2 linked regions of the Arabidopsis thaliana genome follow. The protein of the gene in region 1 binds, or shares a complex with, the protein of each later gene. Each region holds a gene or a part of one and is shown on either strand. Other genes may lie near its edges. The genes, in order: MEE4 and AT3G62790. A codon is read from its position in the direction of its gene.

What was found.
Region 2: the proteins of MEE4 (region 1) and AT3G62790 are in contact, whole or in part, in a cryo-EM structure (PDB 7AQQ), measured with the Arabidopsis thaliana proteins. Residues at the interface, in NP_171957.2 of Arabidopsis thaliana: Tyr104 (codon at 4,658), Tyr107 (codon at 4,667), Glu108 (codon at 4,670), Asp110 (codon at 4,676), Val111 (codon at 4,679), Met112 (codon at 4,682), Lys113 (codon at 4,685), Asp114 (codon at 4,688), Val115 (codon at 4,691), Trp118 (codon at 4,700), Gly121 (codon at 4,709), Glu122 (codon at 4,712), Val124 (codon at 4,718), Tyr125 (codon at 4,721), Asn126 (codon at 4,724), Ser127 (codon at 4,727), Arg129 (codon at 4,733), Met131 (codon at 4,739), Pro132 (codon at 4,742), Pro133 (codon at 4,745), Ala134 (codon at 4,748), Thr135 (codon at 4,751), Arg139 (codon at 4,763); in NP_191838.1 of Arabidopsis thaliana: Ile7 (codon at 4,424), Thr8 (codon at 4,427), Arg13 (codon at 4,442), Asp16 (codon at 4,451), Phe17 (codon at 4,454), Leu36 (codon at 4,511), Leu37 (codon at 4,514), Glu39 (codon at 4,520), Asp40 (codon at 4,523), Glu43 (codon at 4,532), Cys44 (codon at 4,535), His47 (codon at 4,544), Lys49 (codon at 4,550), Glu50 (codon at 4,553), Phe51 (codon at 5,205), Arg53 (codon at 5,211), Arg54 (codon at 5,214), Arg56 (codon at 5,220), Ile57 (codon at 5,223), Glu60 (codon at 5,232), Glu61 (codon at 5,235), Lys64 (codon at 5,244).

The regions. Positions count from the first base shown.
Region 1 is NC_003070.9:1,288,041-1,294,700, reverse strand, and holds MEE4 (GRIM-19 protein), read left to right. Parts: upstream 1-3,588; 5' UTR 3,589-3,714; coding exon 3,715-3,929; intron 3,930-4,477; coding exon 4,478-4,549; intron 4,550-4,635; coding exon 4,636-4,780; 3' UTR 4,781-4,880; downstream 4,881-6,660. Other genes in the region: AT1G04645 (Plant self-incompatibility protein S1 family), read left to right, coding at 462-848; LIP2 (lipoyltransferase 2), read right to left, coding at 1,453-2,160; EMB1687 (ribonuclease P family protein / Rpp14 family protein), read right to left, coding at 2,896-3,351; AT1G04625 (Polynucleotidyl transferase, ribonuclease H-like superfamily protein), read left to right, coding at 4,881-5,007, 5,913-6,469.
Region 2 is NC_003074.8:23,221,870-23,228,626, reverse strand, and holds AT3G62790 (NADH-ubiquinone oxidoreductase-like protein), read left to right. Parts: upstream 1-4,300; 5' UTR 4,301-4,405; coding exon 4,406-4,555; intron 4,556-5,204; coding exon 5,205-5,306; 3' UTR 5,307-5,597; downstream 5,598-6,757. Other genes in the region: AT3G62810 (complex 1 family protein / LVR family protein), read right to left, coding at 447-526, 624-864; DRB4 (double-stranded-RNA-binding protein 4), read left to right, coding at 1,464-1,694, 1,784-2,165, 2,424-2,878; AT3G62780 (Calcium-dependent lipid-binding (CaLB domain) family protein), read left to right, coding at 5,702-6,598. UniProt on the Arabidopsis thaliana protein: Accessory subunit of the mitochondrial membrane respiratory chain NADH dehydrogenase (Complex I), that is believed not to be involved in catalysis. Complex I functions in the transfer of electrons from NADH to the respiratory chain.

The sequences.
Region 1 (6,660 bases):
GAAATTTTTGAACAAACGAGGTTAAGTTGTCGACAACGGACTATAAGATTTTTGGGGCCAAAGGCTTAATTATTTTCTCAAGGTAACATTAAAATATTTTAAAAACATTATTGTAAAAATATTAATAAAATTGGGACTTCTTTGTAATATATTTTGCTTAATTTCATCAGAAAATGTGGGGCCAAAGCCCATGTTTTTTTGGACGATCAATTTCGCATAATCCATTAAGATTTAATATTATTATTTTATTTTTTTTGTCTGGGTCAAAACCACACTAAATTCTCATTTTACTGATTTGGATGTTTGTTTGGTCACATGACTTTTACACTGATTTCTTTGTTTGTTTGGTCAATAGTCAATGGGATAGTTACTATGTGAAGAAACCGTCGAGCCCTTGGAATACTATAAAATCAACTCCAAGAGCAACCTGAAAAGCCACATTCATAAATACAAACATCAAAATGGAAAAAGTTTCTATTGTTTGCTTCTTCTTCTTTCTTTTATTTGGTTCGGGTTATGGGGGCCTCCCACCGTTCTGGCGCGCTACGGTTGTCACGATGACAAACTTGATTGGCGGTCCACCTCTTACCATACATTGCAAATCCAAGCAAGACGATCTAGGAATTCACGTGGTGCCTTTCAAGCAAGAGTACCACTTCAAGTTTCAACCAAATCTTTGGAAATCAACATTGTTCTTTTGCAGTTTCCAATGGGACAGTCAATTCAAGTCGTTTGATATATATGATGCTCAGAGAGATCAAGGTATATGTGATGACTGTCAGTGGGAAATAAAACCTGATGGTCCATGCAGGCTCGGTAAAAAGGCGAAATGTTTTCCTTGGAAGTAAGTTTGTACTCCTGCGATGATGAAGATATATATATATATATATATATATATTCAAATTCAATAAAATCAATAAACAGAATATTTATGCATTTCTTACTATTTAAAGATTTGTTTCTTAAAGATACTCATTGACATCGGAATGCTTAGAGTAAGAAACAAACATATTTTGGTAGACACAAAACCGGAGTAAACCGAGAATTATTCGTTATCTTCACTGGTTTTCTCTCTTAAGGTTTGTTGTTGCATACTCTTCTCACTAAGGATGTCAAAATGGTTAACCCAATTCAACACAACTCATTACCAATGAGTTTAGGCTTCATGGGTTGACCCAACTCATTTTGTTAAATAGGAAAAGCAATTCAAACAGTTTGAGATATTTGATGCTTTCAGAGATCAAGATGTATGTTATCTATGTAATTGGACTGTCAAAGCTGATGGTGCTTGCAGGCTTGGTAAAGAGCATAAATGTTTTCCTTAGAAATACTTTCATATGACTGATTTTAATGAAAATTTGAGAATGAATAAGACAATATCAGAAATCCACATCACGTCAAAAAATAATAACATTTTTTGTAGACAATAAATCAAAACCGGATCAAACCGGATTATTCTTTATCTTGGGTGTCCAAAATGAGTGAAGGATCTTCCTTCCAGACAACATCATCATAAGAAAACGCTTTGGCTAAACAAGAAACCAACTGTTCATGAATCACTTCTTCTGAAGGAAGCAGAGTATCCGTCTCTCTTCGCAAAGATGTAACTTCTTTATCAGCAATCCCACAAGGCACAATGTGCTCAAAGTACTTCATATCAGGATCTATATTTAAGGCCAAACCATGACTAGTGATTCCAGAAGATATCCTAACCCCAATAGCACCGATCTTCCTATCCCCAACCCAAACCCCAGTCTCACATTTGTTTCCTGCTCGAGCTTTCACGCCATAAATCGAAGCAAACTCGATCATTGACCGCTCCAATGTCTCCACGTAGTTCCTAGCACCAAAACCAATGCTGCGTAAGGAAATGATGGGATATAAGATGGCTTGATGAGGGCCATGGAAGGTGATGTCTCCTCCTCTTTGAGTATAATGAAGTTCAGCTCCGATTTTTGTAAGTTCAGATTCAGGGATAAGTAGATTGTGATCGGTTCTACGCTTTCCGAGCGTATAAGTTGGTGGATGCTGAAGCGAGAGGAGGGTATCTGGAATCTGATGAGCTTTTCTCTCTGAAACTAATTTCTCCTGCAGTTTAAGGGATTTCAAATAGTTGACAGTGCCTAGCTTCCAAACCTCCAAGGTTCTAGGGGATCTCATTTCCTGCACATTAACACAGACTCCATAATTGATCACTTTATCTCTAACTACTTAGGTTATATAGGAAGATTCCAAACACGACCTTTTTTTCCACACAAACTTAATACTACTGATGGGGGTCTAAAAGCATGACTAACACAACAAAAAATTTCCAAAGGCAGCAAACCTAAAATTAGGAATAAAAATCTGAGGAGCTAGGATACAAACCCTATGAATAGTTTTTGGTACCAGGTCTTTGAGGTATTTTATCGAACACTTAACATGCATACACAAAGAAAAAGACACGGAGGATTACCGTAACCGATAAAAACCCATATAAATGATCGTATACATGGTACAAGAGCAAGTAATCGGTAAAGTAAGAGGCTTTGAAGAGCTAGATTACCGTTTCAGTTCTTCTCCTCCACCGAAGAGTTTGGACCTCAGAGATAGGTTCTCTCCAGATTAGAAATTTTGGATTTATTAAAAGCTTCAAAATTCAACGACTTTGCACTTGTACCCTTAAGTTTTCAATTTTCACAGAATTACGCCTTATCTAGAACATATCTCAACAATTCACACCCTCTTATTTTAATTCCAACATATAAAAACCCAGTGATTCAAATCGCAAACAATCTTTTCAGGGAATGATGCTGTTTCTTATCCCTTTGTATTTCAGAATTAAGAAAAATACAAAGATTGTACAATTTCAAAACTTAGGGGTCAAATTCGAAGGAAAAAAGGTCTAGAAAAGTTTCAGTTTTCCAATAGTTTGATCTTCTCAAGAGAAGTATTCATCTGCCTAATCTCCTCTTCAGACAAGCTTTTGCTACACTGCTCAAACTTCTCCTTGTCGCACTTCAAGGCTGTGTCTCTACACGCTCTGATGCAACCGCTAATATCGAGCAAGTTTAAGATCACCGGACAGTTTCCGATGCTTTTGACCAATGTGATTGCTAACCAAACTTGTCTGTGTTCTTCTCTTGATGATCTTACAATGCATAGCTTCGTGATTGGATTCACATATTTCACTTGGAAGGAACCGAGAGACGAACCTAGACCACACTCGCCGAAATTGACGAGGATACTGTCTTTGATTGCTTTCGAGAGATTGAATTGTGTAAGAATGATCGGTGTTCCTTCTCCGAGAAGATCCTTGTCCGGATCCAGAAAAACTTCCATTAACATGTATCTGTTCTTAAATCCCACCATGCTTCTTCGAATCTCCTCGATTTGATGATACCAAGTCGGCGGCTAAAGATATTCTGAACATGTAGTTAGGGCATTTTATATGTAAGAAGAAGAAGAAGATAATCACGTGACTCCACGTGACTTGCTTACTTATGGACTTGGGTCTTTGAACATATCTGAAATGGGCTTAGTTATAGCCCATTTCATCTCATACGACTCCGTGATTTGCTAACTAATGGGCTTAGTTATATGGTCCTAGCCTAGTTAATCTCCAACGTTCCCTTCGTTGTTCATCGGAATCCCTAGAACACTCGATTTCAGCAAAATCAAATCGGATTCAGTGATCAAAAGTCAATTTGGTCGAGAAGAAATTGAGCGTTGAAGATGACGGAGGCGATGATAAGAAATAAGCCAGGAATGGCGAGTGTGAAGGATATGCCGCTGCTTCAGGATGGTCCGCCACCGGGTGGGTTCGCACCGGTCCGATATGCCCGCCGGATATCCAATACGGGTCCTAGTGCAATGGCCATGTTCCTTGCCGTTTCTGGTGCCTTTGCTTGGGGAATGTACCAGGTCGGCCAGGGAAACAAAATCCGCAGGTAAGAACGACTTGTAATAGCTCGTTCACATTTCAATTTTTCCTCTAAAATTCGAGATCGCCTTGGTAAAATTAGTGTTGTGGAGTGATTGATGACCATAGTAATGTAGTGAAGGATACATTTTGGTTAATAATTGTTGAAACTTGAGTATGTTTATCGTAGGAATTGGTTAATATTATTAACCTATGGAAACATAGGCTTGTTGAATCACTGTTATGTATTCTGTTATTAGTATTCCCCGACATTTTGGTTGAAGCTTAATCAGCATGAGTTTAGCCTTAAACGAATATAAAGTTCGTCAACAATTTGTAAACTCTTAAAGCCACAATTGCAAAGATGTGAGAATCTGTTATGATGAAAGCAATTATCTAGTTGCATGTTTTGATAGTAGTTATCGGGATACTGTTTCTATGTAGATAGATTGTTTTAGTATTATATCTGGCTTGATCATTAACTTCTTATGCATTTACAATGGTCCTAAACAAGTCTGATTTGATATCAGTAAGTATCAAGATTAATGCTCTTATCAAGATTGATGTGATGTTTAGGGCATTGAAGGAAGAGAAATATGCTGCTCGTAGAACAATACTTCCCATTCTTCAAGCAGAAGAAGATGAAAGGTAAACCATATTCTCAAATTTAAGTCAATGTGCCTGCAGCAACCTTCAGATAGCAATCTTGTTTCAATCCCCGTTTTGCATTCTAGGTTTGTGTCTGAGTGGAAAAAGTATCTGGAATATGAGGCTGATGTAATGAAAGATGTTCCGGGATGGAAAGTTGGCGAGAATGTGTACAATTCTGGTCGCTGGATGCCTCCGGCTACTGGGGAACTCCGTCCTGATGTGTGGTGATTTCCTAGTTTCTCTCAAATGCATATGATGATGATGAATGATGTTTCGCTGAGGATTGATATGTTCTTGTTATATCTTTTTTTCTTCGGGTAATAAGAGAATGATTCAACAGACAGTATTCTTCTTGTATTGGTTTTCTCTTAAGTGTTTCAATCGTAATATGAGGCAAAAACAGTTTCATGATTCATCAGCAAGCTGCAAGAAATTGGCTTATTTGACAGCTCCAGGTGAAAAATATTCGAAAAAGCTTACCGAGTGAAATCGAACCAAATCATATATAATTATATGTGAATTTAATATCCAAAACAATAAAATTTTGAAAACAAGAGTTCTTGAAAATGAAAAAAAGAGTAAAACCTTTTCAGAAAATAAATAAAATTAAATGCTAAATATAGTACATGAAAATGAGAAAAATATGTTAGATTTGTGAAATCGTTAATGACCATGGTTAAATGGCGGGATCCAAAATCCGGTTAGATTTCACAACGTCATATTAATTTAGTATTTATAAAATCTTTTAAAAAAAAGAAAAAGGAAAAAAAAAGAGAGTTGAAAACATTTTTAAAAAAATAAAATAAAAATAATTAAATGCTAAATATACATGAAGATGTGAAAAACATGTTGGATTTGTGGAATCGCTAATGACCACGGTTAAATGGCGGGATCCAAAATCTGGTTAGATTTCACAACGTTATATTAATTTAGTATTTATTAAAACTTTTAAAAAAATCAAAAAAAATTTGAAAAACTTTTAAGAAAAGAAAACAAAAAATAAATGCTAAATATACATGAAGATGTGAAAAATATGTTGGATTTATGGAATCGCTAATGACCACGGTTAAATGGCGGGATCAAAAATCCGGTTAGATTTCACAACGTCATATTAATTTAGTATTTATAAAAAACCTTTAAAAAATTATTTATTTAAATGTTTTAGTGAAAGTTTTAGTTTTGGTTAAAATAATTTTTAAAGAAAAGAAGAAAAAAAGTTAGAATGAAGAAAGTCCTAGTGTAACGAAGGCCTCATACAGCAAAGCCCATTCCAAAGTCCTAGTGTAGCTCTGTCGTAACATTATCCACCAATTTTAGGTCAATTTTGTAAAACTAAACTACAAGATCATTCCATGGGAAGCTTCTCTCCGATATGCAAGACAAGACGCCAAAGAATGGCAAGATGCAGAAGAGTACACCCACCGTTTATCATCAAAACCTGACAGAGTAACGTCACAAGAACCAACAGCTAATCTCTGGACAACACCCCCTATTGGTTGGACGAAATGCAACTATGACGGCACTTACCACAGCAACGCTCCGAGTAAAGCGGGTTGGCTCTTACGGGATGATCGAGGAACCTTTCTAGGTGCAGCTCATGCTATAGGCTCTATTACTACCAATCCGATGGAAAGTGAACTCCAAGCTTTAGTCATGGCCATGCAACATTGTTGGAGTAGGGGCTATAGGAAAATTTACTTTGAAGGTGACAATAAAGAAGTCTCAGAGATTGTCAATGGTCGGTCTTCAAATTTTGCAGTTTTTAATTGGATAAGAGATATAAGCGCTTGGAGATCAAAATTTGAAGAATGCAAGTTTACTTGGACAAGGCGATTTTCAAACATGGCTGCAGATGCTCTGGCAAAACAACAACTTCCTTTGAACACTCAGTTTTATTGCTATAACTATATCCCGTTTGTAATAACTGATTTTTTACATCGCGACTTTGCTACAGCAAATTATTAATAAAGCTGATGTTTGAGGAAAAAAAAAAAAACTACAAGATCAAACCCTAGTTCCTCCGATGAAATTGCGGTTAGAAAACTAAATATTGATTGACCTAATTCAAAGAGACCTTTTTTGTGCAGAAACTAAATATTAAAAATCCA
Region 2 (6,757 bases), on another chromosome or scaffold:
TGAAACAATCGGGGACAAGGAAATCTAGATAGATGACGAAACCTAAGCTTATGTAGGAAATAATTATATTTCAATCTAACAATAAAAGTGACATGGATTTGAAAATGATACAAAAGATGGGTCTCTACGACAAGACAAGGCTTCTAAGATTTGAGAATGACACAAAAGATGGGTCTCTACGACAAGACAATGCTTCTAAGAAAAGTAGAAAAGTGAGGTCTACAGTCTAACATACAACATAATCAATATTAGCCATGGATGTAAGTGAATTCTGTAATTCTTGTTTTGAAATGGACGAATCTCATCCAAAAATGTATGTAAAGAGCTTCTTATTGATTCAACTTGGCCGTGAAAAGAGAAAACAAACAGAGAAGCATAAAAAGGATCCACCTTTCCCGATCAAACAAAACGAGTAAGGGAGAAGTAATCCAATTTCAGACTTACACTCATACAGATTTTTTCCGAAGCATCTCCTCTGATGGAAGCTCCAAAGTAGCTCCCGCGTGTTCCTGACTTGCTTTCATCTCTACGACACAGAAAAATCAAATTTCCAAAGATATGAGCTTTCACTCACGCATTTCAACAAACAGATGGTGCGCAAGATAAAAAGAGTCAGAACGAACCATATCCGCCGCGTTCGTTGAGTTTAGCCTGGACGATCATGGTGGAAATGAACTGCGTCGCTTCACGCGCCTCTTCTAGAAGGCGAGTGATGTCGGAGTTAGAAGCCACGAGGCGATTCTCTTCGAATTTCTTACGGATCTCGGACGCCGAAGCTTTTAGCATCTCGGTATCTCCGGCGAATGATTTCTTTGTTGCCCTGAGCAGTGCTCTGTACGCGATCAACGCTTCTCCGGTCACCATTTCTGCTCTTTCCCCTTTCAACCTCCGCCGTCGTCTCCCTCCCAAAATTGGATTTAGAAATTTGGTCGCCGACAACCTTCTGATCAACTTCGAGTTTCATTGGGCCTTTACAACTTTCATGAATAAGCCCAATTTTGGCCCATTAATGGATTATTTCGGATCATACCCGTTCAAGCTGGGTTAACCCGAATCTTTCGTATCCTTGAGACAATTTACATGTGTATACTTATTATGGTTTCTCGATGAGTTTCAATCAGCGAATGCTTTGTCTGATTGTTCACTTCCTCCCTCGAAGTGTCTTCACCATTTCAAAGAGGTACGATTTTGTGTTTATAATCGTAGATTCCTTTCGCTGTTTTGATGTTATCGATCTGTACGAAACCCTAGATCATTGAGTCTGACCAATTCTGAAATTCGTCTCTTCGTTTGCCATTTATGTTTGAGAAATTCTGATACATGTTGTCATGTTGATCTCTTTATGTTTGGTTGACCAATTCTGAAATCTGAAATTCGTCTCTTCGTTTGCCATTTATGTTTGAGAAATTCTGATACACGTTGATCTCTTTATGTTTGGTTAATTCCTGCCAGTTTAGATAGAGATGGATCATGTATACAAAGGTCAACTGCAAGCGTATGCCCTGCAACATAATCTGGAGCTACCAGTGTATGCGAATGAGAGAGAAGGGCCTCCTCATGCTCCTAGATTTAGATGTAATGTTACATTCTGTGGACAGACTTTCCAGAGCTCTGAATTCTTTCCGACACTAAAATCGGCTGAACATGCCGCTGCAAAAATTGCAGTTGCTTCTTTGACGCCACAAAGTCCAGAGGCTAGTTCCTCACACTCTTTTTGGACTACAAGTTATGTGCTTTTTCAACATTTGTTTAAATTTTGATTTTCAAATTTTTGTTGTTTCAGGGAATTGATGTTGCCTACAAGAACCTGTTACAAGAAATTGCACAGAAAGAGAGTTCTCTGTTACCATTTTATGCAACTGCTACATCTGGTCCATCGCATGCGCCTACTTTTACTTCAACTGTTGAGTTTGCTGGTAAAGTTTTCAGTGGAGAAGAGGCGAAAACCAAAAAGTTGGCTGAAATGAGCGCTGCTAAAGTTGCATTCATGAGTATCAAAAATGGGAACTCGAACCAGACCGGATCGCCTACTTTGCCTAGTGAGAGACAAGAAGATGTAAATTCAAATGTGAAGAGCAGTCCACAAGAGATCCATTCTCAACCTTCTTCCAAGGTGGTGATGACCCCTGATACCCCATCAAAGGGGATTAAAGTGAATGAAGATGGTTAGTTTTCTTTGAATACTACACTACATGAATAATCCGTTGGTTTGTTTGTTAAAGGAAAAACTCTCTTTCTTTGTTATAACTTGTGGTCCAATCAGAGGGACGTATTTTCCTGAGATAGGTAGGAAACAGCTATGAAATAAGAAAGCCAACCTTACTTTAACTGCATGAAATGGATTCCAATTTCAGTTTAATGCTAAATGGTCAAGATGGTTAATTCATTCAAAACTCATGCTCTACAGTCTTGATTCTGTGCAGAATTTCCAGATCTTCATGATGCACCAGCCAGTAATGCTAAGGAGATTAACGTTGCTTTGAATGAGCCTGAGAATCCTACAAACGATGGTACTCTTAGTGCACTAACTACTGATGGTATGAAGATGAACATTGCTTCTTCTTCTTTGCCTATACCTCACAATCCTACAAACGTTATTACTCTTAATGCACCAGCTGCCAATGGTATCAAGAGGAACATTGCTGCTTGTTCTTCGTGGATGCCTCAGAATCCCACAAACGATGGTAGTGAAACATCATCATGTGTAGTAGATGAGAGTGAGAAAAAGAAGCTCATAATGGGAACTGGCCACCTGAGTATACCAACTGGCCAACATGTAGTTTGTCGCCCATGGAACCCCGAGATAACTCTTCCTCAAGACGCGGAGATGCTCTTTAGAGATGATAAATTTATAGCCTATCGTCTTGTGAAGCCATAACGACATCATCATCTTTGATGCATAATAAGTGTAGAGATAGAATGTTAAGGTAAGCTATATCTCATCTGTTTGTAGAAATAGAATGCTTCTCGTCTCTGGTTTTCTTAAGCAATATGCTATGTAGTATGTATACTGTGTAATGACTAATTTTTGTTTTAAAGCATTGTGTTTATTAGAAACAAGGCGAGATTAAATGTTAATAGATTATGGAAAAGCTTAACAGAATAAATATTAAATAGTAAGATGTAGACATAAGCAAAACCAGCTAGATAAGTAACCGCTTCAAGTAGAATATTTGTAACGATAACCGAATATAATTAGAGACACTAGAGTAGAGGTAAGCAAAATATTTGGGAACAGCAATTCCATCACGATATTAGATATTCGAGACCGGTGCGGAGATGTGCTGATGATTTTCGGAAGACATTCAGGTTGTACATAGCTAAGTCCATATTGGTACCCACAAGTGCTGATTTTCCGAACAGATCCTGGTTGTGAACGAAGCAGGGTGTGCCAGCAGTGCCAAGGCACAGAGTCCTTATTTTCTCTCTTAAATTTTAGGGTCCTAATTTATAGGAATTTTTATTTTTCTAGATAAAATTACAATGGTTGAATAGAACTACAAGTGTATTACGTTTACAAGAGACAGTAAACACTGCCACGTAAACTAAAATTTTTTGGATTTAAAGGTTTAAAGGGGATATTTTTTTTTTTAGCACAGAACCCAAAATAATATTGAGTCGGGCCTGGAACGAAGTGAGACTAAATTTTCGACGAAAGAAGTTATAACACAAAAGTCTGGAGAGGCAACAAAGGTAGTCTGTCTCTGGGTAATATTTGAACAACCTTTTCTCACTCTCACATAAGAAAAGATTCCCTAGCTTAGAAACAGCCATGGGCGTGAACTACCTTCTCCAAAACAATGAAAAGCAATTGTTTTCTTTAAAAGTGGAAAATTAACTATTAAATTTGAAAAAACAACCCAAACATTTTTTAATACCGTAAAAATACTAGAATTAAACTTTACCAAAAATTAATATAATTCTTTAAAAAAAAACTAAAGTCATATTTAATTAAATGTTTTATATATAAAATATATAACATTATATATGACATATAAATTACTATCATATATAGTCCGTAATGGCCATTAAGAACTGCTAAATCAGGGGTTTGAAATTCTAATCCACCAACAAGTCAAACATAAAGGAACTTTTGCACTTTTTTTTTTTCGACAGCAGACTAAATTTTATTAAACTATTAAAAGCCTAGTAACAAAGTAACAACAATTCCTGCTTAATGTTAAGGAACGGGTAAAATTCTGGTAATAATTACCTTCACACTAACGTAATTACAGGAATTGATATCTCAAAGTTGGGCCCATGAAGTGTTTACGTTAAAGCCCATAATATAAAGGCACATTTATTTCGGGTTCTAATTGGATTAACCTGAATAGATCGGATCCTCGGAAATCAGGCGAAGAAGACGACTAAATTTCTCCTGGGATTAGAGAGAGAGGAAGGAAAAATGGCGTCGGGGTGGGGGATAACGGGAAACAAAGGGAGGTGTTACGATTTCTGGATGGATTTCAGCGAATGTATGTCTCATTGCAGAGAGCCCAAAGACTGTACTCTTCTTCGTGAAGACTACCTCGAGTGTCTTCACCATTCCAAAGAGGTTAGGTTTCGCCTTTTTCCTTTTTTTAGGGTTTCTTTCAATTATCGTTCCTGTGTTGTTGTATGTGTCATCAATTCACGCTTTTGATTGCTTGATCTGTTTCATTGATGATTCGTCCTGTTATCGGTCGTCTGTACGATCATCGATAGTTTCTGGATCACGAGTTTAAGTCATTCCTAGATCCGTTGGAACAATCTCTCAGTCTGGTCGTTTCGTTTGCTACATGTATAAAAACATAAGCTTTCTTTTTGCTTGAAACTAGAAAAGTTGAATTGCAATCTCCCAAGTATATATGTGGATGCTTTCACTAGGTTGCTTGTAGGGATTAGGTTAATATAATACCACTTCCCTTATCTGAGATTTAGTTTCATGGCCATGAATTGTTTAGCTGTTAAGTTTGGAAGTTGAGACTTACTCTTTATCTCTTGTCTCTGTTTGATCTTTCAAATGGAACGATATTGTCTCTCTTCTCTATGTGTTGAAATCATAAATTTGAATGAAACTGAATGTATAGGCTTGCGTGTGAACTTTTGAGGGAATCAAAAGCTTTATTATTGTTGTCTCCAATATTGTTTCTTTCTTCTTTGCTTAGTATAAGCCTATGGTAGATGAACTGATAAGGAGCGCATATTTGTGTATTTTGATCTAGTTCCAACGAAGAAACAGGATATACAAAGAAGAACAACGTAAACTAAGAGCTGCATCAAGGAAAGGCGAAGAAACCGGGGATGGGACTCATACTCATCACTAGTCGAGATTTTCCTCCTATCTCCAAAGTTTGCATCTTTCGAAGAATAAACAAAAGTTTCTTGAAGATTTCTGTATCTTGTGTGCCAAACTTCATTTGATCGTATTCAGTTTGCTTTTGCAATGGATTTTTTTGTCTTTGCTTTGTCTATTACCTTTGACCGAGTTGTAATATGCCTTTGGCTACTCGTCAAACACAGACTCCTTCTTTAATGGTAATAATTACTCCTACAGTTATATTAAAATCATTATTCGAGAGACATTAAAAACAGAACAGTGGGTGGAATAATGAAAAGGTCCTCTATAAATAGTTGTCATTGACTTTCACTTAGTCTTCTCTGCAACTCCTATATGTAATGTGTCTAGAGAGAACCAGCTTTTTCATTGGGTAATATCAAAATGGGGACGAGATCTCTAGAAATAAATGTGACATCAGCAAAAGGGCTTAAGAAAGTGTCGAAGATGGATGTTTTTGTGGCCGTGAAGTTATCCGGTGATCCAAAATGCTCTGACCACCGTGAGCAGCGGACACAAGCGGCAAGAGACGGTGGAACCAGCCCCAAATGGAGCAATGATGTCATGAAGTTCATCCTCGACCAAAACTTAGCAGAGGCTAACCGCCTTGTGATCACTTTCAAGATCAAGTGCGAGCAACGTGGAGGAGTAGATAAAGACATCGGCGAGGTTCATGTTCAGGTGAAAGAACTTCTGGATCATCTTGGAAACGATAAGACCGGTCAAAGATACGTCACATATCAAATCGGGAAATCCAAAGCCGATATTAGTTTCACTTATTCGTTCACAGGTCCGGTGGAGGTCCCGACCGGTGGCGGCTGCTCACGGTACGCAGCTCAAGCGCCGGTGCGTCCTGTATCGACCTACCGGCCCGTTTTGAACGGACCCATGTTGAGTCAGTTGAACGGACCCGTGTTGAGCCAGTTGAACGGTCCCGTGTTGAGTCAGTTGAATGGTCCCGTGTTGAGTCAGTTGCAGGGACCCGTGTTGAGCCAGTTGAACGGACCCGTGTTGAGTCAGTTGCTACCAAGTGTTGGATCGTTTAGTTACAACCACGTTCCTTGTCAGCCACCGATTTATCCACCACTTGCTCAGCCTGAGATTCTTCCACCGGTATGCTTCCCCGGATTGTATCCGCCGAGTAACATGCCGGGAAGTCCACCCACAATGTATCAATCTATATTTCCTGGCTTATCATGTCCACCAGAAGGTTATTCAACGGTGGCTCCGCCGCTGACACAACCGGGACTATATCCACCGATGAGTCCTTACAGATATTAATTGATTGTCAACGTCTGGAAGCCTAGTCGTCGGTTTGGAGATTTGTTGATTTTATTTAACTAATGATGTCATCAATTCCCCCAACTTGTGTGTGTGTTCTTTTTCTTCGAACTCAACATAAAAATTGTTGTGTGTTTTTTTCTCTCTTTCTAACAAAAT